Oryctolagus cuniculus: one gene and its partners. The protein of the gene in region 4 purifies or fractionates together with the protein of the main gene of each other region. This does not show direct contact. Links are inferred from orthologs where the notes say so. Each region holds a gene or a part of one and is shown on either strand. Other genes may lie near its edges. The genes, in order: KAT5, EPC1, NAP1L1, H2AZ1, MBTD1, RUVBL2 and ING3.

The links.
Region 1: the proteins of H2AZ1 (region 4) and KAT5 purify together in Homo sapiens (affinity purification with mass spectrometry; 6 studies listed by BioGRID and IntAct, with this or other methods). This does not show direct contact. The link is inferred for Oryctolagus cuniculus from reciprocal best matches to the Homo sapiens genes H2AZ1 and KAT5.
Region 2: the proteins of H2AZ1 (region 4) and EPC1 purify together in Homo sapiens (affinity purification with mass spectrometry; 4 studies listed by BioGRID and IntAct, with this or other methods). This does not show direct contact. The link is inferred for Oryctolagus cuniculus from reciprocal best matches to the Homo sapiens genes H2AZ1 and EPC1.
Region 3: the proteins of H2AZ1 (region 4) and NAP1L1 purify together in Homo sapiens (affinity purification with mass spectrometry; 3 studies listed by BioGRID and IntAct, with this or other methods). This does not show direct contact. The link is inferred for Oryctolagus cuniculus from reciprocal best matches to the Homo sapiens genes H2AZ1 and NAP1L1.
Region 5: the proteins of H2AZ1 (region 4) and MBTD1 purify together in Homo sapiens (affinity purification with mass spectrometry; 3 studies listed by BioGRID and IntAct, with this or other methods). This does not show direct contact. The link is inferred for Oryctolagus cuniculus from reciprocal best matches to the Homo sapiens genes H2AZ1 and MBTD1.
Region 6: the proteins of H2AZ1 (region 4) and RUVBL2 purify together in Homo sapiens (affinity purification with mass spectrometry; 6 studies listed by BioGRID and IntAct, with this or other methods). This does not show direct contact. The link is inferred for Oryctolagus cuniculus from reciprocal best matches to the Homo sapiens genes H2AZ1 and RUVBL2.
Region 7: the proteins of H2AZ1 (region 4) and ING3 purify together in Homo sapiens (affinity purification with mass spectrometry; 5 studies listed by BioGRID and IntAct, with this or other methods). This does not show direct contact. The link is inferred for Oryctolagus cuniculus from reciprocal best matches to the Homo sapiens genes H2AZ1 and ING3.

The regions. Positions count from the first base shown.
Region 1 is NC_091432.1:6,003,904-6,007,922, reverse strand, and holds the start of KAT5 (histone acetyltransferase KAT5), read left to right. Parts: upstream 1-1,219; 5' UTR 1,220-1,461; coding exon 1,462-1,473; coding exon of another isoform or gene 1,474-1,572; coding exon 1,573-1,639; intron 1,640-1,951; coding exon 1,952-2,020; intron 2,021-2,115; coding exon 2,116-2,252; intron 2,253-2,515; coding exon 2,516-2,671; intron 2,672-2,757; coding exon 2,758-2,832; intron 2,833-2,933; coding exon 2,934-3,008; intron 3,009-3,160; coding exon 3,161-3,409; intron 3,410-3,606; coding exon 3,607-3,696; intron 3,697-4,019. UniProt on the Homo sapiens protein: Catalytic subunit of the NuA4 histone acetyltransferase complex, a multiprotein complex involved in transcriptional activation of select genes principally by acetylation of nucleosomal histones H2A and H4.
Region 2 is NC_091444.1:102,740,375-102,744,428, forward strand, and holds the start of EPC1 (enhancer of polycomb homolog 1), read right to left. Parts: upstream 2,801-4,054; 5' UTR 2,471-2,800; coding exon 2,318-2,470; intron 1,146-2,317; exon of another isoform or gene 1-1,145. UniProt on the Homo sapiens protein: Component of the NuA4 histone acetyltransferase (HAT) complex, a multiprotein complex involved in transcriptional activation of select genes principally by acetylation of nucleosomal histones H4 and H2A.
Region 3 is NC_091442.1:78,557,995-78,561,494, forward strand, and holds part of NAP1L1 (nucleosome assembly protein 1-like 1), read right to left. Parts: coding exon 3,425-3,500; intron 3,324-3,424; coding exon 3,304-3,323; intron 1,872-3,303; coding exon 1,749-1,871; intron 1,076-1,748; coding exon 1,046-1,075; intron 817-1,045; exon of another isoform or gene 544-816; coding exon 493-543; intron 1-492. UniProt on the Homo sapiens protein: Histone chaperone that plays a role in the nuclear import of H2A-H2B and nucleosome assembly.
Region 4 is NC_091439.1:65,412,978-65,417,246, reverse strand, and holds H2AZ1 (histone H2A.Z), read right to left. Parts: upstream 2,801-4,269; 5' UTR 2,383-2,800; coding exon 2,380-2,382; intron 1,961-2,379; coding exon 1,883-1,960; intron 1,585-1,882; coding exon 1,471-1,584; intron 1,167-1,470; coding exon 1,037-1,166; intron 745-1,036; coding exon 683-744; 3' UTR 309-682; downstream 1-308. UniProt on the Homo sapiens protein: Variant histone H2A which replaces conventional H2A in a subset of nucleosomes. Nucleosomes wrap and compact DNA into chromatin, limiting DNA accessibility to the cellular machineries which require DNA as a template.
Region 5 is NC_091448.1:27,053,661-27,057,953, forward strand, and holds the start of MBTD1 (MBT domain-containing protein 1), read right to left. Parts: upstream 2,801-4,293; 5' UTR 2,471-2,800; exon of another isoform or gene 2,152-2,470; intron 1,610-2,151; 5' UTR 1,547-1,609; intron 1-1,546. Other genes in the region: UTP18 (U3 small nucleolar RNA-associated protein 18 homolog), read left to right, coding at 2,944-3,285. UniProt on the Homo sapiens protein: Chromatin reader component of the NuA4 histone acetyltransferase complex, a multiprotein complex involved in transcriptional activation of select genes principally by acetylation of nucleosomal histones H4 and H2A.
Region 6 is NC_091449.1:8,256,209-8,259,067, reverse strand, and holds the end of RUVBL2 (ruvB-like 2), read left to right. Parts: intron 1-1,223; coding exon 1,224-1,343; intron 1,344-1,616; coding exon 1,617-1,746; intron 1,747-2,039; coding exon 2,040-2,154; intron 2,155-2,251; coding exon 2,252-2,277; 3' UTR 2,278-2,359; downstream 2,360-2,859. Other genes in the region: LHB (lutropin subunit beta), read right to left, coding at 2,501-2,743. UniProt on the Homo sapiens protein: Possesses single-stranded DNA-stimulated ATPase and ATP-dependent DNA helicase (5' to 3') activity; hexamerization is thought to be critical for ATP hydrolysis and adjacent subunits in the ring-like structure contribute to the ATPase activity.
Region 7 is NC_091434.1:156,936,583-156,940,646, forward strand, and holds the start of ING3 (inhibitor of growth protein 3), read left to right. Parts: upstream 1-1,264; 5' UTR 1,265-1,463; coding exon 1,464-1,491; intron 1,492-1,740; coding exon 1,741-1,812; exon of another isoform or gene 1,813-2,535; intron 2,536-4,064. UniProt on the Homo sapiens protein: Component of the NuA4 histone acetyltransferase (HAT) complex which is involved in transcriptional activation of select genes principally by acetylation of nucleosomal histones H4 and H2A.

The DNA of each region.
Region 1 (4,019 bases), on a different chromosome or scaffold from region 4:
TGTCCCCCCAACCGCTTTAACACATCAACAGCACGGGTGCTGGTCAAGGGCGCAGTCCAGACACCATGCTCGGCCCCAGCCCCCGCAGCCAGGGGGCCCCAAGGCCCAGCCGCGCTGTCAGCGCCGCGCGTCCCCATGGGAGCCGCTGCCCCTGCTTCCCGGCCTGCCCGGCGGAGTTCCAACAGGACCTGCTCGCGAACACGTGGCCCTCCCTCGTCTCCAGACCTCTTCCTCTCTCTCTTCCTTCTTAGCAGCTTCACAAAGACCAAGGCGGGGTGTAGTAAAACGGCGCCGTCTTCCTAAGCCCAGCCCGGCTCAGCCGAGCGCGGGCTTCCCAAGGCCCAGCCGCAGGGTCAGCTCCAGCCCACGCTGAGGGGCCTGGCCGGCCACGTCCTCCCTCCGCACGGCCCCGGAGGACCCGTTCGCCACAGGCCGCTGCTCTGCGCGCCAGGGCCCCCCCCACAGTAACCCTGCCCCTCACTCCGGCGTCTGGTGTTCTGTGGGGGCCCACGGGCCGCGGGACACGCCAGGCCCACACCCGTCTGCCTGTCCACCAGACACGGGCCAGCGCGTGCAGCGCGGCGCGGCTGCCCCCGCGGGACGGCCTGTGCGTCTGGAACTTTCTCTGGGTCCCTTCAAGCCTTCTTTCCAATAGTTAAGCTTTCAGCCAGCGCTGCCCGGCTACTCCAGCCCGACCGCCCGCGCCTGACCACCCTGCTCGGGTTTTCGGGGTTCCCCAACACTTAGCCCTGAAACAGAGGCAACCGCGGCCATTAACCCTCCCCTCCCCGCAACTTCCAGGAACGCGAGCTCCGCCAGGGGAGGGGTCTGTCCGCTCGCCCCCACGCGCTCCAGGGCCGGCAGTGGAGCCCGGCACACGGCGGGAACTCACCGCACGTCTACAGGCCGCAAAAATAACGCACACACCGGTTCTCAACCAGGAACTCGGGGTACGAGGTTAGACACCCGCGCCCCCGCGCCTCGAACTCGGCCCCGCAGCCGTCCCGCTACTCCCGCCCACTTGTCCAACTTGGCCACGCCCACCGCCCGCCCTCAGGCCCGCCCCGCGCCCAGCACGCGCACCCGGCGCCGGGCGACGCCTCCCGCCGCCACTAGGAGACTCCCGAACGCGGCCGCCCGTCCGAGCCCAAACACTAGTCCCACGTGACCCGCGCCGCAGCCACGTGACCGGCGTCGCACCCGGTGGGCGTCACGTGACGGACTCAGTTTTCCTCCAATCGCGGCGCACGTTGTGGAGGTTCCACCCAAGACCTGGCCCGAGGCTCCGAGCACCCCATTTTCGCGCCGGCCAAAAGGGCTAGCTCCCCGCTTCCAGCCGGGCGGCGGTGTCCCTCAAGGGTCCTTTACTAAACAGGCTCAGAGGGCCCGGGTCTGCAGCGTTCGCGATCCCGGAAGTGACGTCTCCCAGAGGGGCCGGAAGTGGCAGTAGAGGGAGGGAAGATGGCGGAGGTGGTGAGTCCGGTGCCCGGGGCGGGGCGGAGGGAACCAGGGGAGGTGGGTAGAGCCCGCGGCCCCACAGTAGCCGACCCTGGCGCCGCGCTGTCTCCCCAGGGGGAGATAATCGAGGGCTGCCGCCTACCTGTGCTGCGGCGGAACCAGGACAACGAAGATGAGTGGCGTGAGTGACGTCGGGGGGCGGGGCTAAGAAATACGAGGCGGGAGGGAGTCAGCCGAATGGGGCGGGGCTTCTAGAATGCTGGTGCGGGCGGGGCGCTGGCGCTCCAAAGGAGGGGCGTGGCTTCTAGCCGTTCCGACCTGGACAGGGCGGGGCCTGGAGAGTGGGTTGCACTTGGTGTCTGAAGGGGGCTTGGGCGCGAGCTGCGCAGTGCTGGGGCGCGGGGATCCGGCCGAGGGGTGGGGCTCGGGTCCTAGGAGGGTGGCGTCTCGGGGCCCTGCCCGTCTAAGGCCTCTGCCTGTGCCGTTCCCATAGCCCTGGCCGAGATCCTGAGCGTGAAGGACATTAGTGGCCGGAAGCTCTTCTACGTCCATTACATTGACTGTGAGTCCTGGGCCTGGCTGAGGTGGGGCTGCGGGGCGGGCGCGGGGCGGGGGCAGCCTCTGGCATTCCGTCCTGAGCCATGCCCACCGCTGCAGTCAACAAACGCCTGGATGAATGGGTGACCCACGAGCGGCTGGACCTAAAGAAAATCCAGTTCCCCAAGAAAGAGGCCAAGACCCCGACCAAGAACGGACTGCCTGGGTCCCGCCCCGGATCTCCCGAGAGAGAGGTGGTGAGTAGGGCCCCACTCCACCTCTCCTGCCTCCTACTCTTCTCGTCTCTCGGCCTTAGGGGGCTCCTGGCTGGGCAGGAGGCAGCACCCCCCGCCCCGACTCCAGCTTGCAAAGCATGGGGCCAGGTTGCAGATGTAGCTTCCGGTCCAGTGGCCAGTCCTTGAGAAGGCAGCGGGCGGGGCTCAGTCACTCCACGCCGAGGGGGCCCCTCGTCCCCTGCGCCTCCCCACCCCAGAGGAAGACCCTGGACCTATCTCTGCAGCCGGCCTCCGCCCAGGCCAGCGGGAAGACCTTGCCAATCCCGGTCCAGATCACGCTCCGCTTCAACCTGCCCAAGGAGCGGGAGGCCATTCCCGGTGGTGAGCCCGACCCGCCGCTGTCCTCCAGCTCCTGCCTGCAGCCCGGCCACCGCTCCACGGTACCCTCAGCACTTCAGGGACCTTCTTTCCTCTCAGGTCCCCCTTCCCTACCTTCTCACCCACCGGCCTCGGTTTCCCTCTGCAGAAACGGAAGGTGGAGGTGGTGTCGCCAGCGACTCCCGTGCCCAGCGAGACGGCCCCGGCCTCCGTGTTCCCCCAGGTAGGCCCGAGCCGTCTCGTCTCACTGCCCTGCCTGCCCTGCCCCCGCCGGCGTCTCCGGCTCAGCTCACAGCCCCCCGCATTCCCGCCGTCTCTTCACAGAATGGGTCAGCCCGTAGGGCGGTGGCAGCGCAGCCAGGGCGGAAGCGGAAGTCAAACTGCTTGGGCACGGACGAGGTGGGTCTGGGGGCTGGGTGGGGAGGGGCCGTGAGGCGGGTGGGCGGGGGCTGGGCCTGGTCTCTGAGAAGTGGGGTCACAGCAGCTGCCCCGGGGTCGCAGACGGGCGGCGCGTGGCTCCTGTAACGTGCCGTCTCCCCCGGCCCCGGCAGGACTCCCAGGACAGCTCCGATGGCATCCCGTCGGCTCCGCGCATGACTGGCAGCCTGGTGTCCGACCGGAGCCACGACGACATCGTCACTCGGATGAAGAACATCGAGTGCATCGAGCTGGGCCGGCACCGCCTCAAGCCGTGGTACTTCTCCCCGTACCCGCAGGAGCTCACCGCGCTGCCGGTCCTCTACCTGTGCGAGTTCTGCCTCAAGTACGGCCGCAGCCTCAAGTGCCTGCAGCGCCACCTGGTAGGCGGAGCCCAGGAGCGCCCGCCCTGCGCCCCAGAGTCCAGGAGCACCCGCCCCGCCCCCCAAAGTCCAGGAGCGCCCGCCCCTGCGCCCCCCAGAGTCCAGGAGCACCCGCCCCGCCCCCCAGAGTCCAGGAGCGCCCCCGCGCCCCCCCGGAGTCCAGGAGCGCCCGCCCCTGACCCTCCTCTCCTCCTCAGACCAAGTGCGACCTACGCCACCCCCCTGGCAACGAGATCTACCGCAAGGGCACCATCTCCTTCTTCGAGATCGACGGGCGCAAGAACAAGGTCAGTGGCCGCGGGCAGCGGGCGGCTGCTGCTTGCTCGGGGGCACACTGGCCTGCCCAGCCGGCAGCTTGTTCAGCCCGTGGTGTTAAGAAAGGTTTGTTTATTTGAAAAGCAAAGTTAGAGCGTGGCATCCGCTGGTTCACGCCCCAAATGACCACGAGGCCGGGGCTGGGCCAGGAGCCTGGGGCTCCATCCGGGTCCCCGCACGGGTGCAGGGGCCCGAGCGCTTGAACCATCTTGCGCTGCTTTCCCGGGCCACAGCAGGGAGCTGGGGTGGAAGCAGAGCAGCCGGGTGTTGCAGGAGACGGCTTAACCCGCCGTGC
Region 2 (4,054 bases), on a different chromosome or scaffold from region 4:
CTGCAGGGAGAGGGGGCCTCTACTTAAGTTGTTTCTTAAAAAAAAAAAAAAAAAAAAAAGTTTAATTAGGCCAGTTTAGCTTATATTATTAAGATTGGTTAAATGCAGTACAATAGTTATTTCCCCCATGTTAAAATACCCATATTTCTGCTCACTTTTATAATGACTACTTATATTCCCGTGTAAATGTATCTTGCTCATCAAATGCTTTCTCAAGGAGCCAGGTATCCAAGAGCCTCACCTCATTCTGCCCCCTTCTTTCACCACCACCATCACCACTAAGCATGTATCTTTTTCTAAACTTGAGTCAATTTAGGTTCTAGGTTACTGGGACCTAAGAATGGGCCTAACTAATTTGTCAAAGGCAGAGGTTTGTTTCAATCCTTCCTCTAAGTACAAAATATTCTCAGCAAATTTGTATCAAAAGGCTTTTGTTTTTCTAAAGTTAAGGCAACTCAATTACCTTTATTAACATTTAGTATACATTTTTAATACTGTGTAACACACTGCTTTCAAGATGGTGATATGTATGGCCTCTCGCAGCACCACAGAAGTGAACAGCCGCTTATCTACCCAGGTACTTTCTTGACACTCTATGATTAAGTTCAGTACCTATTCTTGAGGTGTTACGCTTCATTCATCACAGTTTTTGTTGGATGTGAAGTGTTGTAGCTCTTGGGACTATCCAAGTATTCATAGAAGCAAGATAGAACTAAATGTCTAAAGTGTACTGTCGTGCTGTCGGGCTTTTTAAGCATTTCTTCCTTGGCTGTATAACAAGAACTGTAAATCAATTCCCAGGGCCGAGTCACATCAACTCCCCACCTTCAAAGTATTACCTGTCAAACTGACCGAGAGAAACAAAATAAAACCAAAAGACAAGATGCTGCAATCACAAGTACTTTAATTTTTTTTTTTTAAATCACTTATTTAACAGATGGCAGGACTCTACTCTGAAGTTGAACCAAGGAAAACAAACGGAGTGGCACAGTCTCGGAGGTCAGTCCTGCACTAGGAAATCCCACTGGCTCCGTGCGCTTGGCAGGCAGCGTCTTCCGCAGGCAAAGACACCACTCTCAAAGGTGACACTCCACTGCCACAACTATTTCACTTGAGACGCTTAAACGACCCGAACAGTGTAAAGAGTTTTATTTGCAAAGACAGCATTACAGAGCACAGCTTCCACACTGCAAAGGTTGCCGGTCCCCACGAAGTATTACAGCACCCAAGAAGTCCGCGCTCCCTGGACTCCTTGAACTGTCAAGGCACTGCCCCTGCTCACTCGGCTGCACCTGCAAGGAGTGGTCGTTAAGTTACTGTCAAGCAGCCGGGGCAAACCAGAGGAAGAGGCCATCATGTTCGCGTCTGGACCCAACTCCGCCACCGAGCGAAGCCACGACTGGGATACAAGGTCCAGCCCTGAAAGCAGTCATTTAAATACAGAAACCCACTCAATTTAAGACACCCCAGCGTTAACACTCGTGTGGGTGGGTTTCCTTAAACTGAGCGGCTAAGGGGAACAAAGTCCTTGCCTCTCTGTCCAAATGTAGCGCTACCACGCTGCCCTTGCTCACACGTGGAGCGATTAAAAGGCAGGCGCAACTTCTGTTCCAAGTAAATCATCCAGAGAAAGGCTTCGGCACGGCCGCGCGGCCCCGCACACCCGCGCCCTACGCCCGTGTGCGCTCCGCTCCCGCTAACTAGCGCTGCACGAAGCCGCGTCTCCCACCAGGAGTGAAGGGGCCCGGGCCGGCACGCAGCGCCCCTCGGGCGGGCCCCGCCGGGGCTCCACGTGGGCGCCGTGCAGAGCGCCCAGCAGCGTCCCAGGCCACCGGCAAGCGAGCGTCCCCGGCTGCGCCCGCGCTGCCCGGCGCCGGCCCCGGAGCGCCACCCAGCGGCGCGCGGAGAGGCCTGCAGGCGGGGCCTCCGCGGCTCGCGGCTCCGCGGCTCGCCGCACCCCCACCGCCACCCAGCCCGCTCCCCTCGCCGGATGCACAAGGCCCAACCCAAGCACTAAGACCACAAAATGGCTGCCGGCAGCTTCGTCACGTGACCCCTTTGTGCCTTTCGGGCCCCCGAACTCCGCGGGACCCGGGTACCAGGGCCCGGGGTCGGCGGGTGGCCCGAGAGGAGGCCCCGCCGGGCCGCGGCGGCCGGGGGTCGCGGCCGGGGGCGGCGGGGGAGCGGCCCGGCCGGCGACCGAGAGTCGGCGGCGAGGAGAAGATGGCGGCCATTTTGTGTGGGTCGGCTGCTCCGCCGCCGCAGGCAGCAGTGGAGCGGGCCTGGCGGCGGGTCGGACAGGGGAGTTAACACGTACCGACTCCTCTTCCTTCTCCATTCCGGTGGGCATCTGCGGCACGGCCCGGTTTATCGAGGCGTATTCGTGCAGGTCGGGCAGATCCTCACAGCGGAACACCGGCAGCGGCTTCGAGGCGTCTAGCGCCCGCGCCCGAAACGACAGTTTACTCATCTCAGGCGCAGCAGATACCTCTCCGCTCTGGGGAAACGGCCCCGGCCAGCGGGATCATGGAGAACCGGGGGTTCGGTCCCCACTCGCCTACCGCTGCCGGGGACTGGAGGGGCGGAGCGCAGAGCCCGCCGTCCGGGCACTAACACCAGCCGGGAGGGTGGGAGGCTGTGCCGCTCCGCTCCTCTCTCGCTCGCTCTCTTCAATACGCCATGGCCAACATGGCGGACATTAAAACTCCACTGTGCGCTCTTCAGCCAACCCCAGCCATTCCCCACACTGCATCGCGCAGCGGCGCGGGCACGCGGGGGGGGGGGGGGAGCGCGGGCTCGAGGCCGGGCGCCGGCACGGAGCGCGCGTCCCGCCAACCCCCGGCGCCCGGCGCCCGGCGCTCGCGGCTCGCGGCTCGCGGCTCGGGGCCCCCGCCCGGCGCGGGCTCGGGGGCGGCCGGGGCGCTCGGACGCCGGGCGCCGGCCGGAGGCTCCCGCTGCACTTCGGGGCGCAAACGCTCACTTTCTCACGCTCGCTCCCGCCGCGCTGCCCCGCGCACTCCTCCACTCCTCCCCTCCTCCCCAGCCGGCGCCGGTACAGGGAAACTGCGCCCGCACGCCCGGGCCTGGGGAGGGCGACGCGGAGGGGACGACGGGCCGAGGCTGCGGCCCCGGGGTCACCGGGCTCGGGCACCCGCGTCACCGGGCCGGCGCACGGACGCCGCGCACCCCTGCCCGTGCGGGTCTTTAACATAGAAACGCACACGGAGTGCTGCTTGCGGTAAACTTTTACCGGCAATTATTTTTATGTCGACCGGAACTTCGGATTATAGTATTTGATAGGCTCCGCGATCAAATCGCTGGTCAGTTTCCCACCCGTGGGCAGGCATCCTATTCCACTACAAAAGTAGCTCTTAAAAATGCATGCTACATTTTATCTTATGTGTTTTACTGTGATTGAAGCAAAGGGGATTATACTGGACACCACCTTCATGAAAAAGCATTTAAATCAAGATCTACTTCAAAACCTTAACGCCAGTTATTTATATTCAGTTCACGATTTTCTGTTTGCACCGCAAGAAAAAAAAGCTGTTTTCAACATCGCCATGAGTTCTCGCTCGAATTTGTCCTCTGAAAACTTTATAAAATGGAATCATACAAAGACCTGGAGCGATCCCACCGAACCCAACGAGAAAAGCTGAACGATTGGAAGAGGTTTGGATGGAGCTGACAGACTGCCAACACCTGGTTTATATTACACACTAAAGTGGGTATCCGCTGATCCCTTTCCAGGGAGGTATTTTAAAAATCAGAAAGATTGTTGCAGTGGGTTTTGTAAGTGTGACAGCAAGATTTCACTCGTATGCCAAGATGCAAACATGTTTTCTAAGTCTGCCTTTCTCGCCGGGGGCTACATAATAAAAAATAATCGCTATTCCCAAATACTGGGTTTGGGATGAACTGTTATTAGCTTACGGGGCATAGGGGAACTGCTATCTTCCAGGCTGGTTTAGCTGCCCTCCACTAGGTGGGCAGAAGACAAGGGGAGCGGAAACCACAATTCTCTGCAGTCACCCTCCACCTCCAACATGGGCAG
Region 3 (3,500 bases), on a different chromosome or scaffold from region 4:
TCTCATATGGGCGCTGGTTCAAGGCCCGGCTGCTCCACTTTCCGATCAGGTTCATTGCTATGGCCTAGGAAAGCAGAAGATGGCCCAAGTCCTTGGACCCTGCGCCCGCATGGGAAGACCAGGAGGAGGCTCCTGGCTCTGGGCTGGCACAGCTCTGGCCATTTGTGGCCAATTAGGGAGTGAACCAGCGGATGGAAGACCTCTCTCTCTGCCTCTCCTTCTCTGTATAACTTTCAAGTAAATAAATAAATCTTTAAAAACAAAAAAAAACAGACTGCTAAGGTTTACACTTAGCCTGAATCAGAAAAATATAAAGTCAGAACCAAAACCAATGTTTTTTTTAGTAAAGGTGCACTGAAATCATGTGTAATGCCAGTGAGGATCAGAAAAAGAAAAAATTTGCTTTATTATAAGTTTTTAATAGAAAAAATAAATCAACTGTTACTTTAGCCTGCCTCAAATTTAAGATAAAGCAGTACTAATTTTGCTCACCTTTGGGTCATAGTCTGGATCATTTTCCTCATCTCCTTCTTCTTCCCCTTCCTATATTAAAGTTCAAAATGCATCCATGAAGTAGGTACAAATGGGAAATACTGACTCATAATGTAGGGAAAATTTAATACAAGTTACTCTATGAGTCAACAGATTTTCATGATTACAGAGTTGTTGACAGTACAATTTAATCTGAAAGCTTTTAATATGAAAAATTTCCCAACACAACTCGAGACATCCAGACAGCCTTTATTGAAAAGATTACTGCAGCCAACGTTGAAAAAGTTTACTGCAGCTTTTGACTTCTTCAAAGAGCTGATAACCCTGCAGCAGAACAAAATTATTTGAAATAAAAAAAAAAGTTGCTGAGTTTTGCAATTTATTTATTGAAACCTTATACATACATTGTTTGGCTGTAGAGTTCTAAAATCATATATTCCAAAATGTATCCCAAATCACAGAATAATGATTATAGCAAAGGAATACATAAGTCACTCAATTTGCTTCACATTGTGTTAAACAGAGAACTATTTGTTCATTTGGTAAACATTACCTCATCCGCTTCTTCACCTTCTTCATCATACTGAAAAGGAAAACAGTGAAGTGCCAACATTAGTAACATCTGATATGTATACACTTAAATGAAAAATACAAAACATTTTCTCCAAAATATGTTAGCTACAGCAAGCATTCGGCTCAGTTATTAACTAAATAACCAGGCAATTTAGTATAATCATATGAATGAATCATTATCACACAATTACTTGCCTGAATTTATCTGTGGAACATATTGCACAACAAAGACTCAATACCTATTAGCAATAAAGGTATCCAAGAAAGGGCAGCCTAATTCAAACTAAATCATTATTTAAAATTCTCTTAGATAAAATTTTATGCTGTCTAATAAATACTATCTTACCTACAGAAAAATTCCTAGTTCTGTTTTTTGTGATCATAGGCAAAAGCCTAATACCTCTATAATGCTAGCCAAATGTAAAACTTTTCACTTGATCAGAATGATGTTTCCATTGGTAGCAAAAGCAAAAATAAGATAAATGAATGTAAAGAGGCTAAGAAAACCTACTTAATATTAAGCAAGCTATCTACAGGATTATCTGTAACTAGACCAACTTTGAATTATTCCATGTCCTAAATCTAGATATAGTGTAAGTTCTAAATGTCTAAAACCTAACTTCTTATCAATTCTATCTTACCCGCAACCAAATTATTTCATTACAAAATACAAATTCACTCACATCATCGTCATCATCTTCAATAGCTTCTCCAGTAAAGTATAACACTGATCTTGGGATTATACGTTCACGTAAAAAGTGACCAATTTCAAAGTCTGCAGCAAGGATAGCTTCAGCATCATCATCCTATTTTTTGAAAAGGGAAACAAAAGCACAACATTTAAGAATAACTTCATGTGATAAATTTATACTTTTTAATAAAAAGAAAACAAGTTAGCAGGCTGTGTATATGTTAAGAAGATTGGGGAAATAAAACAATATATAATTTTACTACATACTAATTTTTGAAAAATGAGAACACTAATCTGAATACTAAGAAAAAAACAGGCTTTTATAAATAACTAAGTATATGAAACACAGAAAATCACAGTAAGAGACCACAGAAAATCACTTCTTCACACTTCCTAAAAAGAGTTAGCAAGCAGCTGTACAGTTTTAAGTCTACTTAAATGCAAATGAGACAGAGTCCTTGACAAAATCAATCAACTAAGTCGATCTGGAATTTTTATTTAATGGCTAAACAATGCACAGAAATGCTTCTGACATTCATCAGTACACATTCGAGGAATGTTTACTGAGTCATCAACATAATGCACACTAACAGAGAGGGAGGGAAGACGACTGAAGAAAGGGATTGCAAATACAGATTTCCTATCCATAACTGAGAAACTTTGTCAACCATCAATATTCACAATATAGGAAACAAGCAATCCAATAAAAACTCCAATCCATCTATGGACAGGCATTCAAATAGTTATCTTCCTCTATATACTTCTTTGAGGTTGTGGTTCAAGTTCTACAGTAGGCTTAATTCTTGGCTATATGCCACATATTTGAACACCTTAGTATATGGTCATGATATAAAACCATATTTTCATTGTGATAAGAAACAGGATAAAGCTCTAATAATATGGCCAAAGAAATGTAACAAATGATACCAAGGACCTAATTAATCTTTGTCTCATTAAGAATACAGTAATTAGGGGCTGGCGCTGTGTTGTAGTGGGTAAAGCTGCTGCCTGCAGAGCTGACATTCCATACGGTTGCCAGTTCAAATCCCGGCTGCTCCACTTCTGATCCAGCTCTCTGCTATGGACTGGGAAAGCAGTAAAAGATGGCCCAAGTCCTTGGGCCCCTGCACCTGCGTAGGAGACTAAGAAGAAACTCCTGGCATCAGATTGGCCCAGCTCTGGCCGTTGTGGCCATCTCAGGAGTGAATCAGTAGATGGAAGACCTCTCTCTCCCTGTCTCTCAGTAATTCTGCCTTCAAATAAATAAATCTTTAAAACACACACACACACACACACACACACACACACAGTAATTTTGAAAAATTAAAACCCTCATAAAAGTATTTTCATGTTTCTAAAGAAATTTTCAGCTTTTCATTTCATTGTTTTTCCATGGAAACCTTTTTTGGATGGAACAATTTTTTAGATCTCTACAAGTTTCTTCCACGAGGTCTCAGAACCACAATGCTAGTAAGAATCACTAACTCTCCACCTTTGAGATAATTTCAAATACAGTAAACAAGTCAATAAAGAACAAGTCAGCTTACCAAATCTCCGCTCTCAGGAACTGTAAAATGAGGAAAACAAAAAACATCAAATTATTAAGAGTAAATAAAGCTTAGTATAACAATAAACAATCATCAATATTCAAGCTAAAACACTATTTACCTTCAGGAGGGGCAAAAAAATTAAAGAAAGAGTCATTGGAAACTGTTTTAGTCACAGTACGAACTGTCCCACGTCC
Region 4 (4,269 bases):
CTGTGCAGGTGCAAGCCCACCAAGGCGGCCGCGCGCCAGAGCAGTGCTGTCACTGCGGCACAGCCAGGGTGAACGCTCAGCTCACTTGGTCCCTGGTCCCAGGAAACCCTAACCATCTCCAGCTCCTGCAGAACTTCTGAGAAATTCATAGCACATTATGGTGTAACACTACCTTGTACCCGGTATCTGACCTTTGTCGATCTACAGGTTAACAGTTTAATTTCTACAGAAGAAATGTGCCTAGTTACTGCTGGACCACAGTCAAAACAAGTTTCCATTACAAGCAAGCAAATTTAAAACACAACTAGTTTGGGAGATGACCTTTATTGAGCTTATCCACCTAAGTGGAAATAATGTCTGTACAAAACCAAATGTTTGTTACTATAACTTCTGCATCACAATTAAAATCCAAACAGTTTTTTAAAAACAGTCAACTCAATCAAAACCCACTACTTCAGAATCAATAGCTTCTTTGAAGCCACAGTAACACTTAAATATGGTTAAGACTTGAATGCAGAAATTTGGTTGGTTGGAAAGCTAATTAAACTTCCAACTTGCTCAAATAGAATTACAAAAAGGCAAAATTGTGTTTTTCACAGAGATACAGTCCACTGGAATCACCAACACTGGACAGTTGTTAGAGTATTTAGAGTCCTGAGATAACAAGGAATCCAGGCATCCTTTAGACAGTCTTCTGTTGTCCTTTCTTCCCAATCAGAGACTTGTGGATGTGTGGAATGACACCTAGGAGAGTGACAGATAAATTCTACTTTTAATGTAAGTACTTTCAAAACCACACAGTACTTTGAAACCAAGGCATTTTACGCTTCAACGTGCAAGATCTTTCAAAAAAATGTGAAGCTCAAAATACCAAAAACCCATTGAGTTGTTTACATAAACCAAATTTCATGACCCAGCCATACTGCATCAATGAAAACATTCTCAAATGCCCTCTGCTAGACTAAAATCTAATAGGAGTTAGAAGCCAAGGGTTTCTGTCCTCCGAATAAGGAAGAAAACCAACTTTATTACATACCACCACCAGCAATTGTAGCCTTGATGAGCGAGTCCAATTCTTCATCTCCACGAATAGCAAGTTGCAAATGACGAGGGGTAATGCGCTTTACCTTTAAATCTTTTGATGCATTTCCTGCCAGTTCAAGTACCTACAAGGCAGACGCTCATCAATCGCCTTTGACCAAGGTGCAAGGGCAGAATCAAAGCTTAAGGAACAGGAATCTGCCAGGTGTTCCCCCCTATCCAGGGGACACGCAATTACTGCCAGGAGCAGCCAACTCCTCCGGCTCAGGAGGCTCCCTTCCTGGACACCGGCTCCCTCTAGCGTCCTCCCGGGCTTCTCGCCGCGTCTCGGGCCTGGAGTCTTCTTGCATCACTTTCCTCCTTCCCTCCGGCCGCCTCCCCCGCCCCCCCCCCCAGCCCTGCCTCGATGATAGGCGTCCGCTCAGTTACCTCTGCGGTGAGGTACTCCAGGATGGCAGCGCTGTACACGGCGGCAGTCGCGCCCACACGTCCGTGGCTGGTCGTCCTAGATTTCAGGTGTCGGTGAATGCGGCCCACCGGGAACTTAAGCACACACAAACAAGAAACGCATAAAGACAGGGAGCCAGGGCTGGCGGGATCGCACGCGCGCCAACGCAAGGGGCCCGGACGCTGGTGCAGCCAGGCACCCTAGCATCCACACACGTGATCGCCGCCCCCCCCAACCTTATTTATCGTGTGGGCAGCCCCCAAGTCGCGACACCGCATCCCCAACGCGAAGACGAAACGCCCATCTAGGGCGATGATAAACAAGAAAGGGGGGTGGGAGGGGGTGTGCAAAGAAAAACGCCACGGTTCGCAGACTGCACGAACAACTACTGACCTGCAAGCCGGCTCTCTGCGAGCGGGAAACCGCCTTTGTCTTGGCCTTTCCGGAGTCCTTCCCAGCCTTACCGCCAGCCTGCGGCGCGCACACGCCCGCGAGCGGAGGAGGATCGGAGAATATAGAATTACCAGGGCGGCGCGCCCCTCCCCCACCGCGGCGCGTCCCCGCGCCCCGCCGGGGTCTCCGGCCCGCCACGCGCCGCAGGGGCGACCCCGCCCGCCGGCCCCCGCCGCGCGCCCGCCGCGGCCGCGCGCCTCCGCCCGCCCGCCCGCCGGCCCCCAGAGGCGCCGCGCGCGCCACCCAACCGTCGCCGCCCGCCGCGACAGCCGAGGCTGCTCCGCTCGCAGCCGACACGCCACCTCCCCCCCGCTCGTGTAAATCCCGTCTCCGCACGTCCCCAACCGTCGCCACTTCACCCTCATCCCCGTGGGTAGCGGGTTTCTCTCCCGCCGGCAAAATCCCGCGGAGTTACCGAGCGCCCCTGCGAACTTTACCATTTCGAATTCTGCGGAAGCTCAAACAAGCAAGGCAGAGAAAGGGCTAGTCTGACACACAGCGCGATCCCACCACCTACTCCTCCGTCGCACCGCGATTCAAACTGCGCTGTCTCCCGCCTTCCCCGCTGCCTTTATACTGCAGAATGTTCCCTCATCCGGGAACTCGGATTGCTCATCCCACCAATGGCTGCCGCCCGCCCTCGGGACGCGTCCTTGAGGCCTCAGCCAATGAGAAAACGAAGAACAGGGCGGAGAGGCGGGCGCTTCCAAGCTCGAGCCGCGGTTGGCGCGTGGGGAGGAGGTGGGGGAGGGCGGAGGGATGGGAACGGGGGAGAAGAAGGGCATAGCAGCGGGAGGGAAGAAACAGAACGAGGTGCGCAGCGCGAGCGAAGAAACCAGCAGGCTCAGTCACGTGTCTGGGAGGAGGAGCTGAGAGGCTCAGGGGAGGGGCGTGGGACAGCGCCCCCCGCCGGTCCCTTAGCGGGATTGCAGAGGCCACGTGAAGTCTCCTCGGGGTCTAGCGCGGCCCCCACCCCTAACAGCACCGCCTGGGTTCTCGCCGCCCGGAATCGGCTCCCCTGCAGCCTTCTTCCGGGGCCCCGGGCACCCATTCGCCTGCCGCCCTCCCAGCCCCTGGCGGCTGCGCTCGTCTGACAGGTGGCGCGACCGGGTCGGCCAGGACTCGGCCGTTTCCTCCCTCTGAGCTGGTTCCCAGCCGCCGGCGGATCCCACTTGAATTTCAGCGGAGTCCTCTCCTCCTCTTTCCCCCACCACTTTATGAAGACACCCCCGCACACACGCACGCACACACACGAGGTGGTTCTGTGACAACAGTCGGCGGAGCCGAGTTACCTCGCTGGGCACAAAAGACCTTTTTGTTCACGCGTGGGGAGCTTGGCGTGAGCTGGTATTTCTTTAGTCAAACCGTATTTTTCTGGTGTCTACAGGTCGGTGGGTTGTACCCACAGGCCGGTGTCTAGAGTTGATTTAGTGAAATCTCAGAGCTATTATGTGTCAACTTTTCTACACTAAATATTTCGCTGCGTGACAAATGTTCGGTAAATGTCAGTGGGGTAACTAACGTGATTCACAGGCAGTTACAGATGGTCCATGTAATCAATTGCAAATGGTGGGCTTAAAAAATAGTACTGTACACACAGTGCTATAATAATGCCAGCTACTTAGTCTTCCAACTAATAGATTAATAACACCTGTGCACATCTCCAGCTGTTTGGGAATATAATGTTACATGTTCAACAACTGAACAGTTGCAACTTGAAGTATTTGAAACATACATTCTAACTTTAGGTTTCAAGGTTTCAATTTGAAAGTTTTTTGTTTTTTTTTGGGGGGGGGATCAAAGGACATTCCTGTTTCTGGGATATAAATTCTAGTCTATCTTTTCATTATTCTCCTTGGAACTGAGGAGTCCTTGTGATGTCATCAATAGCAAGAGTTCATCAGATCTCCAACTAAATTGATAAGATGGCGATAAAAAGCTGTGAAACTCAATGTAATAGTTAACCTTGTCGCCAGTGAGGCTTCACTCAGAAACCAATATTAATGCCTTCTCCGATTTAGATAATACTCTCTCTGGGATGAAGCCCAACTGAAGAGAAATCTCTGTTGCCTCTTTGGATCGTGTTTGAGAGAATGAATGGATTCGGGGCAGGCAGACGTGAATTCTTCTGCTCTGCGGCCTCCTCACTGTGTCATCTGGGCGACCAAGCTTTGGGGGCTTCAGGTTCTTCTGTGGAAAGGTTATATGCCACCTATTTTCACAACCTGGTTGCAAGATTAAAGAAGGTATACACTGTAGAGGATAGTAGTGGACACACAGTAAGCACTCAGTAACTCCTGTTATCTTCTACACTAGCCACTGGAGAA
Region 5 (4,293 bases), on a different chromosome or scaffold from region 4:
TTTAAAAATAAAACCAGTTGTTCCTGTCTAGTATGTTCAGAATGCAAATATCTCCAAAGCCAGTCAACTTAACTCATGACACTTCATGTTTAAAGCAAGCAGGAAAACAACTTGGAACTGTATTAATTAAAACTTGAAAGACACAATTATGTAGCTCTAGTAATTTTGTTTGTGACGTAGTACTCAATTCCACACTACATTCCATTTTCTAGCTTCAGAGAAAACGCTATACCAAAGTTTACATTAGGATTAAAACTCGGATGGTTGAAAAACATGTCCCAACATAGGACACTCTGAATACTTACTCAAAAACAGATTTTTGCCATAATATGCAACGTATACACAGGCCTTGACTACAGAGTTCTATACAAATAGAAGCTACCTGTTATACAGAGGAGATGGTACAAAAAGAGACAGCTGTTTTCTTTTTAAAGACTTTTGAGTGTTGAGGTAAACAAATGAGAAATAACACCTTTAGCAACCAAAAGCAAAGCAACAGTCTACATATCTTGAGAGGGAGGGGAAAAATTGTGGTCTCTCAGACCTTTTAAACAGGCTATCAGGAACTTAGAGTAAAATGTATTCACTTGCTTTTAGACATGACTTCGACATAATATGTATTAATTCTTACTTCACCATATTAGGAAAGGGAAAACATATGTACCACCACCCCCTTCTTATGCCATCTAAACTACTGGAGGCAGCTAGCTCACAAGGAAAGAGAGCTTTAGACAATCACTGAGTGACAACAGCTGAAGCTGAACTGCCTTAACTACCCAGTGATAAATACTGGGGTGTACTCATGCGAGCAGCATTAAAATACTGCAAATTCTAAGGAAATACTAAGGTGTTGCATAAGCTGCAAGTCTCTCTATGATGGAGTTGCTGGAAGAGGGGCTCCTGGGTGGGAGACCAGCTCTGATAAGTTAAACAAGCGAGAACGCTGGCGGAGGGATGCTGTTCTGCTCAGCTCCACCGGCTGTTTCTTTCTAACGGCTCAGTAGCATCACCACAAGGCAACGCCAGGCTTCCTTAGGGAAAGCGGTTTAGGTAGCAAGCAAACACACTTCATGGTAGGGCTGACTATACCGATGACGCTCAAATGTCCAACTTCAAAAAGATGCACTGACTAGGGAGAGAAAACGGCCTGGAAACCCTCAGACTGTCATTCCCTGGTTTCCTGTGTGTGTGTGTGTGTGTGTGTGTGTAACAAAAAAGCACAACACCAGTTTCTTCAGACGTCTAAGCCAGCACGCTTGACACCGACCCGGCAAAGTTTTCAGCTGGCCCTCGCTCGCCCTCACATTCTCTTTCCTCCACTTCCCTGCCTGCTGTTCTTTCCTGGTACACAAAATATAGGCCAATGAGCAGTGGGTGGGTGAGGAGGATGTGAGAGAAAAATTTGAGAAGTTGGAAAAAAAAAAAAAAAAAAGAGCAACTTCACCAGGACGCGAATGACAGCGGAGGATCTCTAAGGACAGGCACACAGCAATGCGAACCACTGAAACACGGAAGGGGCTTTCCTGCCCGAGGCCAGACTACCTACCACTTGTCAGAGAGGCTGCACGGGGGACGGCGGCCGTGGTGACCTCTAACGTCTCCTCCGACTCTGAAACGTGAGGATTCTCAGTTCACACAGGAGAACGCCGAGCGCACCCAAGCCCACCGCCTCGGGACCCTTCTAAGGGAGCGGCCCCAAACACCACTCCCACCCCGCCCTCCCACACGTGCCCACCCCGCCCCCTTGCAACATTTCCACCTCCACGTGCAAAATGCCTCGCGGCACCTCCCCCGGCAAAGCCCCCAAACCCCGCGCCTGCGACCCCCTGGGAGGTGAGGACTCGGCTCGCCCACCCCGGGCGGCTCAAAAAGGAAAAAGTCTCAGACCCAGCCTTCCCCCCGACCCCCAACCCCCAGCCGCAGCGACACGGGGACGGGGGCGTAGAGAAAAAACTTTCTTTTCAAAATTTCCTTCCCGACTGGATGAGCCGGAGAGAACCTCGACGCGTCCCGGGCTGAGGCAGTGGGGGAGGGGAGCCCCTGAGACGTTTAACGGCCGGTAGGGGGAGGGGGCTCCGCGGGGTGAGGGGGCGTGGGGCGGAGGAGCGGGCCTGGGAGCGGGGTCAGGGAGCTGGAGGCGTGCCCCCCCACCTGGCACACAAAGCGGCTGCCGCGCTCGGCTCTCACCAGATCCTTTGTGTTTTCCATCAGGGCCTCATGGGTAGGGGTTGTCCGTGCTCCCCGAGCCCGCGGCGCCCCCTCCCCGAGCTGGGGGCAGGTGCCTCTCCCCCGGACTGCGGCGACTACAGGGGTTCCCGGCTGGGCCCAGACCGGTGGCGGCTGCAGCAGCCCCCGGATTTCCCCCCTTTAACTCGGGTGGCCCCAGGATATCAACAACATTAGCATAGCCCTCCCTCCCAGCGCGCCTGCGCCGTGACCCGCGCCCCGATTGGCCCACTTCCCCACATACCCTCCTCTCGCTCTTCCAGCGTGGGACCCTCGGCAGGCTCCGTACTCTACGGACCGTACCAAGACCGAGGGTGGGAAAAGTAACTGAGGCTGGCGTTCTGTCGAGTGGCTAGAAAGTCTGGAGGAAAAGGAGGCGTCTCATTCAGTCATCCCAGCTGGTGCTCCTGTTCCCTTAAACGTCTTTCGATATGCTCCAGCTGCGAGGTTGTGTTGGGGAAAATTTTCCACTCCAGTCATGCCGCTTACCCCTACACCCGGAAGATTGCTTCTCCCAAAGGAACTCCCACTCGGGGCGGGGCAGGCGAGGAGGAACAGAGTTACGTAGTGTGGGGGCGGGGAGGGTTGGTCACGTGGCAAGAGGCTGCGCAGGCTCCTTCCGGCCCCCGGGGCTGCGGCGGCCGCGGGAGGTGAGGCGCCTGGGCGCATGCGCTTGAGGTTCCACGTGAGCGCCTGCGTTTCTTCTCAAACTCAACGATGCCGCCGGAACGGAGGAGCCGAACGAAACCGGGCCGGAGAACCGGAGCGAAGCCGGATCGGAAGACTCGAATGAAGCCAGAACGGAGAGCCATTGTGGCGACGGGCGGGCCGCCCCGAAAGTCTGCCCTTTCATCCCAGCAGAAAGCGCCGGCCCGGCCGAGCGCGGCGGCCGCGGCGATGGCAGTCGCGGCGGCGGAGGAAGAGAGACTGCTCCGGCAGCGCAACCGCCTGACGCTGGAGGACGACAAGCCGGACGCGGAGCGGTGTCTGGAGGAGCTGGTCTTCGGCGACGTGGAGGACGACGAGGACGCGCTGCTGCGGCGCCTGCGGGGCCCGCCGGTGAGGGAGGCCGCGGCGCGCGGGCTGGGCGCGCTCGGGCGGGGCGCGCGGTGGGCGGCGAGGCTGCGGGGGCGGAGCCTCGGCGACCTGCGGCGGCGGCGGGCAGCGCTCAGGTGGGAGGGAGCCCGGGGACGCGGGCCCCGGGGGCCGCCGCGGAGCCTCCGCCGCCCCCCGGCGCGGGCCTGCGAGCCTCGGGAGGGCGGGGACCGTGCCTTTCTCCGCCCCCGGAGGAGCCGCTGCGCCGGGTATCCAGCAGGCGCTCAACACGCATTTGTTTCGCTAACTGTAGTCGCGGGCTTCCCTAGCGGCTCGGCTGCGCTCGCCCGCGCCGGAGCTGAGCCCAGCACCCCCGATTCCTGGCGGTGATGCAGGACTTGACGGGATCGCTTGGTGGGCGCGGGTCTGGGAGTCCGCGTCCTGAGCGCTCCCACGTGGGCCTGACGCACAGCAGCTTTGGAGAATGATCGCTTGTGTTCGCCCATTCAGCAAACTCGAGTATTTGCAAATACTGCCAGTGGCACAGCCTGCGTCATTAGGACCGTTAGGTTCTTTATCACTGTAAATTATATTCCTTTTTTTTTTCCTGCCCATATAGGGAGTAAAATTTTAGGCATGCTGTAGATGGACATTGGGGGGAGACACAGCAGTGGGCAGCAGAGGCAGAAGGCACCTAAATTTAAAGTACATCGGTGACAGGTGTGAGGAGAGGAGAACAGAATACCGTGGGGGGCGGGGGAGTTGGTGTGGGTGGGAAGGTTATGGAGTTTCAGGTCAGGTCGCGGGTCAGGGCCTCCCTAAATGGCTCAATGAGGGCTTGTTAACTGGAGAGCTTATCTAGCTGCAACCTCCGTTGGGTGCTTCGGGTCGAAGCTGCAGCAACCCAGTGGGAGAGGAGTTTGGGAACTGCTGGTAAAGTGCTCAGCACTGTGCAGATTTGTGTCCAGGGAAAGGAAGCGCCTGCCTGACAGAGGGGGATTGGTTGGGCTTGGAGGGTCTGAAACCAGCCGT
Region 6 (2,859 bases), on a different chromosome or scaffold from region 4:
TAGTCGGGCCCGTGAGCTGCGCTGGGCTCGGGTCTGGAAGGTAGCAGGGCCACAACTTCGTCTCCAGACGGCTGTGAGTTGGCTGCCGCCGCTCCCCGTCCGTAGCCGATTCTGTACTTGTAAACCTGCTTGCCTGCAAAAAGGTGGTTGGCTCCCCGGGTCGTACTCGGGGCGCCCTCACGGTCACTGGCAGAGATGCGCAGAGCAGCGTAAGTTCAGGTCCCTGATGCCCAGGTGCCCGGCTGAGGTTGGATGAGGCCGCGCTCTGCCTGCTGGCCGCAGCCCCCCTCTCGTCTCCCTGTCTGTCAAGATGCTTGTGTTGTGTGTGTGTGTGTGTGTGTGTGTGTGTGGTGTGGTGATACGCCAGCCGGCAGCTGTGACACAGCAGGTTAAGCTACTGCCCGTGACTCCAACATCCCACCCCCAGTGGGCACTGGTTCAAGTCCCGGCTGCTGCACTTCCCATCCAGCTCCCTGCTGACGCCCCTGGGAAAGCAGCAGGAGATGGCCTTGCACCTCCTCTTGGAGACGCAGATGAAGCCCCTGGCTTCTGGCTGTGGCCTGGCTCAGCCCTGGCCATCGCAGCCATTTGGGGAGTGAACCAGCAGATGGTGTCTCTCCTTCTCTCCCTCACTGTGACTTTCAAATAAATAAAACGAAGCTGAGGTACACCCAAGCGTAGTGCTGAAGTGCCATGCCACGTTGCTGAGCAGGGACAGGCTGGGACACGCCTTGGAGAGACGGCGCTGTTGGCCGTGGGCTCTGTGAGTGACTCAGCAATGTATACTAACACAGCCCCAGGTTCCGTACGCATGATGGACAGGACACTGGAGAGGGGGCGGGAGCCTCATCCCGTGTCCCCCAGCAGCCGTGGGGGCGTCCTCGCTGAGTGTTCACGGTGACATCACAGAACGCAGCTGCCGTGGCCGTCCTGGAGCCCGGCGGGCGCCAGGCCAGGGGCAGCGGGGGACACGCCGGGCCGGTGTCTGCCCTCCTCGAGCAGGGGCGTGGGACCTTGGAGCAGTAATCCTGGACACAGACGCCCAGCCGCGGCTCTGCGGGGGCGCCCGGGGGTGGGGGTGACGCAGCTGGGGCTGAGGCCGAGTGGGGCCTGGCCCCGCGCGTGGGCTGTGGTAGACGGGGTGTGTAGGGTCTGAGGATCAGGGGACAGAGCAGGGTCCCACACACGTCACTTGCTAGCCCTCCCTGTCTCCCACTCCCCAGGATCCGGGGCACCAGCTACCAGAGCCCCCATGGCCTCCCCATTGACCTGCTGGACCGGCTGCTCATCGTCTCCACCTCCCCCTACAGCGAGAAGGACACGAAGCAGATCCTCCGCATCCGGTGCGGGCAGGACCGCCCACCTGAGACTCGGGGACCCCTGGCTGCTGGGCCTGCAAGGGGGGCTGAGTGGGGCCTCCAGGCAGAGGCCTCATCCGGGGGGCGGGGAAGGGGCTCAGGAGGCCCAGGTTCTAGGTTCTCTCGGCCCCTGCCTCGGTGGCTCCTGTGGCCTCTGCTTTCTGTGGGTCTGGGACGCAGACTCCTCACGTGACCCCGAGGGCTGGGCCAGCCCTGGCTGAGCCTTCTCACCCCCGCCCCCCCGTGCCCATGTGACAGGTGCGAGGAGGAGGACGTGGAGATGAGCGAGGACGCCTACACGGTGCTGACGCGCATCGGGCTGGAGACCTCGCTGCGCTACGCCATCCAGCTCATCACCGCTGCCAGCCTGGTGTGCCGGAAACGCAAGGTCAGCGGGGGTGTGGCCGGGGGTCCTAGAACGCGTTTCCAGAGGCACTGCCTGGGTCTGTTTCCGTGTCTGGCACATCCCCGGGGCCGGGCAAGCATGTGGCCCGTGTGTGGGAGCCGTGAGGTCCCTCTCACGGTGAAGGACCTGAGGCGTGCAGGGTGAGCCGGGCCGGCCGAGGCAGGCCTGGAACTTGGGAGATTCGCCCGGAGCCCCTGGCCTTGGCTGCCGCTCGCTTGGCTGCCTGGGGTCTGTGTGCCTGCGGGAGGGGCCCACTGAGGACTCGGCCTCCCCAGGGCACGGAGGTGCAGGTGGAGGACATCAAGCGGGTGTACTCTCTCTTCCTGGACGAGTCCCGCTCCACGCAGTACATGAAGGAGTACCAGGACGCCTTCCTCTTCAATGAGCTCAGTGAGTGCCAGGGCAGGGCGGGGCGGGGCGTGGCGGGGCGTGGCAGGCTGGCCTGGGAGAGCTCAGGCTGACCACCGGGCCTCCCTCCTCCCCACAGAAGGCGAAACCATGGACACGTCCTGAGCCGAGCGCTGCCCCTTCCCCCACCCTGTTTTCTACCAGAGTTCTGACACTGTGACTTTGTATAAAATGGTTTGGAAACTGGCCCCTGGGTGTGTGTGCGTCCCCCGGAACCCACAGAAAGACACCCCAGCCTGCAGATGGAGAAGTTTTATTGGGAGGGGAGGAGCGGGGCACCTGCTGGCTCCACCAGTGGGGGTGGGGCGGGAGGTGGGGCCGAGGGGCCTCAGAGGAAGAGGAGGCCTGGGAGGTGGGGGAGGTCGCAGGCCAGGGGCTGAGCCCGCGGACCCCCGCAGTCGGAGCTGCTGAGGCGGCAGGGCCCACAGCGACAGCTGAGGGCCACGGGGAAGGACACCTCGGGGTCCACGCCAGGTGGACAGCCGGGGAGGCGGATGGAGGCGAAGCGCAGCTCGCGGTAGGTGCACACGGGCTGGGGCACGGGCGGCAGGGCGGCGGGCAGCACCCGCACCTGGAGCGTGAGGGAGCAGCGTGGGCCTCGGAGCCGCCCCTGCCCCCGTCCCAGATGCAGGTCCCAGGGCAGCCTCTGCGCTGCCCTCCCGTACCCCCCCCAGCTGACGCCAGTGC
Region 7 (4,064 bases), on a different chromosome or scaffold from region 4:
AGAAGAGGAAGATTCCAGTGAATCTGCAAAAATATCAAGCAGATCTTTCAAAGTAGTCAGAAGGAGGGAAAATGGAAAAGAGGGGCAGGGAAGGGAGGGAAAGTGGAAAGGAGGAAGAGTGAAGGTGCTAGATTTTAGCTTCAAGTGTGTAAAATTAACTACGTTAATTCTTAATAGGACCAGGTAAGTTTCCATTGAGACGTATCAACAGGACAGTCAAGCATCCTGCTTAAGACCAGTGGAAAAGCCCTGAGCAGAGGAGCGGCTACGGAGAACACTCACACTGACGACACTGTTCCCTGAAAAACGGAGAGAGTTAAGAAAGATGGGAAACACCACCACCTAACACTTAGAGTAAGAGTCTCCTGAGGAAAAACATTTTAAAATAAATTCAGCAATGCACACTTAACATATATCACCGGTCAATATTGGCAGGGAGAAATCCAAAAGTAGGGGAAGACAACGCCCAGGACTTCTAACACATGCTACTTACTCAACATAATCTAAATTGCTGGTTCAGCTCATTAGACATCAAGGCTCCACCCGCTACTTATGACTGCTCAGGGTTTTTTTTTTTTTTTTTTTTTTTTTTTTGGTTGTTGCTGCAGGTATAGGTTGTATGTACAGATTACATGAGGATGACAATGACGATGAGCTGGACCGAAAAAACAAAAAAAAACAACAACAAAAAAAAAAAAACAAGAAACAAACCACTCTCGTCTAAACTGGCGCTGATGACTATTCCAGCACCTTTCATCCGGGGAGTGCACATACACGCCACAGTTTGATAAACTATTTGAAGGCTACATGGAGTCAAGCAGACGTCCCTCCCTCCCCCCTTATATTTTCGGCGGTCAACACTGAAGCACCGAATTCTGTCTGCAACAATGGGAATCGCCCGAACTTCGCTGATCACGCTAGCGTTTAGAACCTCTGCTTGTGTGCCCAGCACCAGGCGAAACCCATGACTCACAAACGCCGGGCATGGAACCGCAGCAAAGAACAGGTGAAAAGTTGTTCCTAGTTGTCTGATGCCGGCGCATACAAGTCCCGTCATCCCCTGTGCCAAAATCAACAAATAAACAGAGGCACCGCATTTCGGAGCCCTCCGCGCACCGCTCGCAATGGCGCCTGGTGTCCGTAGTTTTCCCTCACAGAACGGGCGGCACGGCCGCCCTGCCTCAGAAGGAACAGAAACTACACTTCCCACAAAGGCGCTCGGGCAGGCCCTGGCCGGCCTACGTCACTGCGGCAGCCAGCCAATGACAGCGCCGGGCGGCAATGAGGCAAGCGCCGTCAGGCGCCCAAAGTGGTTTTTTTTTTTTTGTTTTTTTTTTTTTTCGCCGGAGTCGAGCGGGTGCTGCTAGCGGAGGCGCCATATTGGAAGGGACAAAACTCCGGCGACAGCGAGTGACACAAATAAACCCCTGGACCCCTTCGCTCCCCCAGCTCTAAGGGCCGCGATGTTGTACCTAGAGGACTATCTGGAAAGTGAGTGCGCGGCGCCGGCGGGGGCCGCCCGTGGGACCTGCGGTCGGGCGAGAGCGCGAGTGGACGGGCAGGCGGGATGGCGGGAGGGAGGGGGAGGCGGGGGATGTTTCTCTCTCACGGTAACTGGCAGCCTCGTTGTGGGCTGCCCGCTCCCTCGACCCCCCCCGACGCACGCACGCACGCACGCAGTGACGCAGGCGCGTACGCTCGCTGTGGGCCCCGCCCTTCTGACGGACTCTTGTTTGACAGTGATTGAGCAGCTTCCAATGGACCTGCGGGACCGCTTCACGGAGATGCGCGAGATGGATCTGCAGGTGCAGAGTAAGTCGGCACGTTTGCCCGCGTCCGCCGCGCGCGTTCCGAGCCGGGCTTGCTTGCCGCCGCTCCTGCGCGGCGCTCCGCGGGCACCTAAGTTGTGGAGAAGAGCTGGCAGGGCCAAATCGCGCCTGGTTTTTTTTTTTTTCTTCCCACGCTCCATTTATTATTATTTTTTTTCCTGTGACGAAATAAGAAGGCATTAGAGTATATGTATTGCTTCCTCGAAATGGGACTGTGCAAAAAAAAAAAAATGTTTTATATCCTCATGAGGGTAATACCGGGTGTGGGTTAGCGATGATCCCGTAAATGCTGAGATTTTGACCAGCGCCTTTATGGATCGAACTTGGATTTCAGCATCTGTTTGTACTTCTGTTCGAGTTCATTCCGAAACGTCCAAGAGCCCGGCTTAGGAGTAGATCCTCAGAGATCCCGGCAAACCTGGAGTGTCATCACACGTTATAGGATAAGCTTGGAGTTGTGGGCTCGATCCTCTTTTCCAGGCAGAATGAGCGGGAGATAAGATGTTGCTGCCAGGCTGGTCAGTGGTAATAATTGGCAGCGGGCTTCCCTGTCCTCCAGTGACGGCTTGCGAGTCTGGTGACTTTTTCTCAGACAAGGACTCTTAAGTAGGTGGCCCAGAGACTACCCGAGGTGGCTGAAGAACCTTTCTTTCGCAATCCACTCCGTGTGTCTACTTGGTGACCACCTAGGATTCTCTACCCAAAGGTTCATGATTCTGCTTTTCTCAGCTTCTGCACAGTTTTATGTAGCACGTAACAAGTGGGAATGTGGCACAAAAGCCACCTTTTTTTCTGTTGGTTAGATTGTAGCGTGGCAGGAAGTGAGAAGCACGATTCTGCAGCTGGCTGACAACATGCGTTTGAACTGCAGTGTAGTGAAAGGCCAGTGACACGCTGAGTAGAGTTCTGTGTAGGACGGAGTGTGGACTTCGATGTCGGGCAGATCTGCGTTTATTTTATAGCTTTATCAGTAGACTCATTGACCTCGATCGACTGCATTACCACTTTTGAGAAGTTTCCATTGACTGTAATAAGAGAATCCAATGAGAATTAAAAATAATACAGATAAGTTAGAATGTATGATATCTGATACAAAGTAGGTGTTAAAGAAAGGGTGGCTCTGTTATAAACATTTTCATTGCAGTTACACATTTTAAATTCTCTTAATTTGAACTTAGCTTGTACAAACTACAAGTTTTTTTAAACTAGCATTTTTTTAACAATAAGTAGAATTCTTTAAAGTTAATAGGTATTATGAATTAACAAAAATGACCATATGTCACGTAAGTTAGGGAATGCTTAAAGGAAAATACTTTTTTAAAAATTTTATTTATTTATTTATTTAAAAGAGTTACAGACAGAGAGGGAGAAACACAAAGAAGTCTTCCGTCCATTTGTTCACTCGCCAAATGGCCTCAACGGCCGGAGCTGAGCAGATCTGAAGCCAGGAGCTGGGAACTTCTTCCAGGTCTCCCACGCAGATCATTAGCAGGGAACTGGACCAGAAGAGGAGCAGCCAGAACAGGAACCGGTGCCCATATGGGATGCCAGTGCTGCAGGGAGAGGCTTACTCTACTATGTCACAGCACCCCAAAGGAAAATACTTTTTTATAAATTAACCATGGGACTTCTCAATCTTTAAAAAGCTGATTATGCACTGGCAATCTCCAAAAGATGAGTATAGTACAGAGATTTTCCTCAACCTAATTAGCAATGGAAATCTTTTTATTTTTCCTCTTTTTGGGAAAAACTATTCATTATTCTAGGCATATACTTCAGGAAAAACTTACTTAGAATAAATAATATCGTGTATGAAGTGCTAAATGGTTGTACTTACTGCTTTCAGCTTTGATATGAAATGATGGAATGCTTAGTGCCATTGAGCCAGTTGTTAAAAACTTTTTACTGATTTTCTTATGAAAAGCCATGTGAGGATATTTTAGTGGTGGTCTCTGTGAGTAACTGTGGTTGGGCACATTCAGTTGATTAAATACCGCTAGCCATTGACTGTGTCCCAACCCCCTGAGGCTGTACTCTTCAAAAACTGTGGTTTAGCTCTGATCCACTTTGTTAATCCTAGTTTAATTATTGGAAAAAATTAAAAAACAACATAAATAAGTAGTAGGGAAATGTGTAACTTTTAAAGATTAAGTTAAGTGAGCATTATGTATTTATGTAACTGAAGCATAACATACTCAAGTTATTGGTCAAGTGGAACAGTGTTTATTGTCAGAT